2 linked regions of the Canis lupus familiaris genome follow. The protein of the gene in region 2 binds, or shares a complex with, the protein of the main gene of each other region. Links are inferred from orthologs where the notes say so. Each region holds a gene or a part of one and is shown on either strand. Other genes may lie near its edges.

What was found. Proteins that work in one complex are often made in the same cells at the same time.
Region 1: the proteins of CNNM2 (region 2) and protein tyrosine phosphatase type IVA 1-like are in contact, whole or in part, in a crystal structure (PDB 5MMZ), measured with the Mus musculus proteins. The link is inferred for Canis lupus familiaris from reciprocal best matches to the Homo sapiens genes CNNM2 and PTP4A1. Residues at the interface, in NP_291047.2 of Mus musculus: Phe526, Asp528, Val551, Asn553, Glu556, Gly557, Asp558, Pro559, Phe560, Tyr561; in NP_035330.1 of Mus musculus: Asp72, Gly73, Ala74, Gly107, Leu108, Gly109, Arg110, Arg137, Arg138, Gly139, Ala140, Phe141, Asn142, Lys144, Gln145.

Annotation. Positions count from the first base shown.
Region 1 is NC_049248.1:18,637,422-18,639,859, reverse strand, and holds protein tyrosine phosphatase type IVA 1-like, read right to left. Parts: upstream 1,139-2,438; 5' UTR 1,079-1,138; coding exon 557-1,078; 3' UTR 537-556; downstream 1-536. UniProt on the Homo sapiens protein: Protein tyrosine phosphatase which stimulates progression from G1 into S phase during mitosis. May play a role in the development and maintenance of differentiating epithelial tissues.
Region 2 is NC_049249.1:15,679,080-15,682,738, reverse strand, and holds part of CNNM2 (metal transporter CNNM2), read right to left. Parts: intron 769-3,659; coding exon 625-768; intron 1-624.

The DNA of each region.
Region 1 (2,438 bases), on a different chromosome or scaffold from region 2:
CCTGATGTATACTGGTATAAATGTGGGAGATGTAAACATAAAGTGAGCAGGCAAATAACCATATAGGCCCTAATTTCTATGTTTGAAATGACTGAAGGAATAAACCACATAAGGTCCAGAGTGTTCATAGTTCCTGGGATTTTAGTTCTGTATGATACTAAAAATATACAACAAGTATTGTGCTGGGTATTTTGGCACCTAATCTTTCTAAATTTCTTATATATTGATAAGATTCTGGCATGGGAATAGACTTAAAGACATAACTCAATACTGCATGATTTCAGGAAAGGTCAATTGGTACAAGTGATAAGCACATTTTAAATGCTGTAAAGCAAGAAACTTTTGCTAAGTGTCCAAATAGTTTGATCGTAACCCAAACATAGAGGTTGCAATTCCATCAAACTTGTGGCCTGATAAAACCGCTTTCCAATACTCCTATGGAAGCTTCATTAGACTTAATCACCAAGCCAACATATTGGCTAATATGTGTATATATGACAAATTAGGTCCTGTTTCAAGTTCCACTTCCAAGGCAATGACATCAGGCACCCCAGTTTTATTGAATGCAACAGTTGTTTCTATGACCATTGGAGTCTTGGAAGCGCAGCCGCATTTTAGGACGATACTTCTCCAAATACAAAAGTTGCTTGCTGTTAAAAGCTCCACGCCGCTTTTGTCTTATGAACTGTACTGCATCTTCATATTTCATTCCACCTTCAATTAATGCTAGGGCAACAAGCACTGGAGCTCTCCCAAGGCCTGCGACACAATGGGCAGCAATACAACAACCAGGTTCTTCACGAAACTTAATTTTTACAAGACTTACCCAGTCATCAACAATCTGGTTGGATGGTGGTGCACCATCATCAAAAGGCCAATCGAGAACACGGATGCCTTCTTTCTCCACAAGAGTAGTGTCATAAGTTGCTTCACATACTCTAACTATTGTTGTAACTCCATACTTCTTAAGTTCCTCTATAAATTTGTTTAAGGTCGCATTGGTTGGATTGTGTGTAATAAGAAATCTCATGTTCTTGTATGTGACTTCCACAGGAGCTGGGCGGTTCATTTGAGCCATGTTAATTAAATTAGAAAACACTCAATAGGGTTATGAAAGAATTTTAAAAAATTGAATACAGAAATGATGCAAAGAAACTGAGTCTACTTTGATATACTCCACTTGAAATTCTCAGTGCTTTGAGTATGAAGTTGGGAGTAATGGGAAATGAAATGAACCTCCTAACAATTCTTCAATCCAGTAATACTGAGGCAATAGAAAGGAAATGCACTGAGGTTTACCCCAAGCAGGTCAGAACTCTTGTAACATGCTCTGTGGATTTCAATTCAACACTTCTGGGTCCAGGTTAACCACTCTTATGGGGGCTTCTTGGTGGAGTAGTAATGAATTTCTACAGTTCACTTGTCTGCACAGAGGTCGTGCTGTGCCTGGCAGTAATCTCCACTGCCCTTCAGAAACTCCATAAATGTGTGACCAAGAACACCACAGAACTGAGGAATATGTTTACTCATTGAAGATTGTGGCCTAATCATACAGCCGGTCCCGAGGCGGCAGCTTCGCAGGCGGTGGTGGGGGCACCAGGCTCTACCATGGAGTGAGCGGCTCTGGTACTCAACTTTTTAAATCAAAATACAAATTAAAACCACCATGAGGTACTACTACTATCTGCCATTATGGCTAAAAATAAAAATGACTAATAATACCAAGAGTCGGAAAGGATGAGAACCAAATGAAATGGAACTCTTTCAGAAACCACTTTAGAATAACTATTGAGGAGGGGCACCTGGCTGGCTCAGTTGGGGGAGCATGCAACTCTTGAGCTTGGGGTTGTGAGTTCGAACCCCATGTTAGGTGCACAGATTACTCAAAAATGAAATCTAAAAAAAACAAAAACAAAAACTATTGATCGGTTTCCACTAAAAACAATTACCACATGCCCCCAGGAGTTCCACTCCTGATTATATACAAAAAGAAATATGCACTGTTCCCCGTAAGAACACTTAGAAGAATGTTCATAGCAGCAGTGACAGCAGCATTAGGCAAAAACTGGGGGCTTTTCATAAAATAGAATACTACGGAGAACTGAGAATGAACAAAGCACTGTTATATGGAAGAACAGGGATAAATCTCACTAACAGAACATTCAGCCAACAGACAGGAAGTACAGCTTCTGTAATCATATTAACATAAATTTCAGAAGCAGACAAAACTATTCTATGGCTTAGAAGTCAGAGTGGTGATTACATTTAGGACAACAGTGATCAGGGGAGTTTATGGGTTTCTGGTAATAGTCTGTTTCTTGTTCTAGGTACAGCTGCCTTCACTTTGTGGAAATTGAGCTATACATTACAATCTGTGCATTTCTCTGTATGTGTGTTATACTTCAATAAAACATTTTTTTAATTCCCATAGAAACATT
Region 2 (3,659 bases):
CCCCACAACAACCTGAAATATGACCTTAAGCAGAAAAAGAAATTTATCTGAACAGAGCTGCCTAGTTGTGGAAAATAAAAAATTAGTAAAGAACAATTCTTTTTCCACATGTAGAATAAATGTAAAAACCAAGAATGGAGTTTTCTGTTTAGGGCAAGTAATGACCTGATCAATGGGTTAGAAGAAGCTGGCTTTTCTTTAAAAAAAAAAAAAATTTAAGATTTTATTTATTAACTCATGAGAGACACAGCGAAAAGCAGAGACACAGGCAGAGGGAGAAGCAGGCTCCCAACTGGGAGCCTGATGCAAGACTCGATCCCAGGACCCTGGGATCACAACCTGGGCCAAAGGCAGTCACTCAACCACTGAGCCACCCAGGTGCCCCAAAGCTGACTTTTCTCAAAAAACCCACAAAAATAAAACACTGCCATTAGACATCACAGGACCTGCCTCCTCTCTCCCCCTCTGACGAAGGGCCTAGAACACACTGCTAAGTGGTCCACAGCCTACACACACAGCACATGGTTAGAGACAGGCAAATGACCAGCGAAGACGTGTGAGGACCCATGAACAAGAGGATAAGAAACTGCCGAGGTTTCAAAAACTCACACTCAGGCTACTCACTGTATAAATCTGTTTCGTCTAGAATCTCGGATTTGATGATTTCTTCAATCACGTCTTCTAAGGTGACGATTCCCAGAACTTCATAAAATGGGTCCCCTTCTCCTTCATTGTTCACTCGCTGCACAATAGCCAGGTGGGATTTACCTTTAAAGAAAAGAAAACACAGTTTAAGAAGGAATTTTCTGACCTTCCTGAACGAAGCCTCATATGTGATGATGTTAAGAATGGTGGTGACGAACACAGATACCAGGCGATCGGAGTATGCATTTGGGCATTTAAACATGGTGCGGAGATGCCACAGACAAATGGAAAAGCTTCCTTGGCTGCTGAAAGCACGAGCGCCAAGTGGGAAGAGCCTCAGCTTCTATACACCTTGGCCTGCGCCATATGATCATCTGCTTCCTCTCAGATTTGGTCTTCAGTCACTTCAGCTCTTCTTCTCCTTCTAACAACTGCTCCTTTACTTACAGGTAACAGTTCTCGAAGTGTGGTCCGTGGACCCTTTGAGGTGCCCAAGACCCTCTTAGGAGGGGGAGGGCAACAAGGTCAAACTACTTCCAGAGCACTAAAATGTTCTAGGCCTTTTGCACTGTGTGGAGATTTGAACCAATTGTGCCAAGGCGTCTGAACACAAATTGAGACCGCGGTGGCAGACCATTTCCGCTACCACACATGCCCTGGGAAAGGAGGGCAATAGTTCATTTCTCTTCAGAATGTCCCAGATGAAGATGTAAAAATTGATTTAATTAAATCTTGTCCTTGAGTACTTGTTTTTTAATACTCTATGTGGCAAAATGAGACCCACCATGAAAGGCTTTGGTGGCATTCTGAAGTACAATGAGTGGCTGTCTTGAGGAAAGGCACACACACAACCGTTTGAAGTGCAGGCTACTAGCTGCGTTTTTCACTGGACATCATTTTCATCCGAAGGATAAGTGCCAAACTGAGGGTACTTAGACTTGGATATTTGGCAAATACTTTCGTGAAAAGGGACAAAATGAGCCTGCAGCATTAGCTTATGATAAAATTTGAACTTTCAAGGGAAAAATCAGAATTTTGGGAAACTTGTATCCACCACGGGCTTGCAAACTCAACAAAGACCCTTCTGATAAGATAACAACTGTGATTTTTAAAATACTGAATAATGAAAGGAGTCAGCATTCCAAAGATCTGCATAACTCAGTGAGCCAGTATTTCCCAAATGATCCTGGTAACGATGTTACCAAACCATGCATAGGTAAACCATCTATTCAGAGTATAAGACTCTGATTTGTAACATCAGATTTTTCCTCTCATACCCTATTTTTAAATTTTTTAAAAGAGGTTTTTATTTAAATTCCAATTAGTGAACATACAGTATTATAGTAGTTTCAGGTGTACAATATAGTGATTCAACAACTCCATACATCACAAGTTGCTCATCACAAGTGCCCTCCTTAATCACCATCACCTAATTCCCCCATCCTCTCACTCACCTCCCTCTGGTCACCATCAGTTTGTTCTCTATTGAGTCTCTTACTTGGTTATAATAACAGATTTTTTAAAATAAACTTTTTATACTTTGGCATAATTTTAGATAGACAGAAAAGCTGTAAAGACAGTACAGAATTCCTGTATAGCCTTCCCTCAGCTGCTCCCACTGTTAACATCAGGCATTACCACAACCTGTTTATAAAACTAAGAAACTGACATTGATAGAGCACTATTAAGTACATTCCAGACTTATTTGAGATTCCACCAGTTTTTCTATTAATGCCCTCTCTCTGTTCCAGGATCTATTCCAGAGCACCACATTGCATCTAGCTGTCATGTCTCTTCTAGCATCTGACAGTTTCTTAGTCTTTGCTTGTTTTTTATGATCCTGACAATCGAGGAGTACTGGTCAGGAATCCTGTAGAACGTCCTTTGGTTTGGGTTTGTCTGATGCTTTCTCATGATTAGAGTGGGGTTCTGGGTTTTCTAGTTACATCATATCAAGGCTTAAATGATGGCCACATGACATTCTCAAGTTTCTCCACTGTAAAGTTATTAATATTTCTTCTTTTCTTCATTCTATCCTTTGGAAGCAGGTCACTAGGATTAGCCCACCCTCAGGGAAAAGTGAGGGATAGAAGTTAAGCTCTACTTCTCCTGGTGGGAAGTACCCACATATATTATTCAGAATTTTTCGATAAGAAAGATTTCAGACCAAAGGATTTCAATTTAACAGTGCACCCAAAGTCCACTGGTATAGTTTCAGATTCTACACTGCAACTAACCTTTAAAAAAACTAAAACTTATGGAGTTTCAGCATCATATCAAAGGAGAATATTCCCAATTGCGCAAAAAAGCTGTTAAAATATCCTTCCCCTTTCCAAATACATATCTATGTGAGGTCAGATTTTCTTCCTATATTTCAACTAAAACATATACTTCCTATATTTCAACTAAAACATCCACAGACTGGATGCAGAAGAAGATAGGAAAATCCAACTAGGCGATAAAGATGTGGAAAGATAACACAACAATTATTGGTCATATAACAAAGGTTATTTTTGTTTTGGAAAAGTTACTTTTTTTGGAAAAGTTATTTTTAATAAAATGTTACTTATGTTAATGCAGTGGATCTATTATAATTGTCCTTCAAAAATGAATTAGTAAGTCTAGATGTTTTATATTACTCCATTTTAACATCAAATACAGTAAATATCAAGAGATAGAACCTACATAAACAAAAGTTCAAGAGTCTTCAATGATTTTTAAGAGCTTAAAGGTATCCGAATACAAGAAAGTTTAAGAACAGCTACTGTGCGAACGGCCACAAGGGCCAGGGAAGAACAGGTGCCCTGAAGCTGACCAGTCCTAGACTGGAGCCCCAGCATGGCCACTTCCTAGTCATTACTAGCTGTGTGATCATGAGGAAATCACAGAACTTTCCTGAGCCTCAGTCTCCTCATCTTTTAAAACCAGGCTAACAAAAATTGCCATATCAGAGACAGTGTCGAGATCCAGCAAGGACAATGGCTAGGAGCCACTGAACCATCAATAAATGGTAA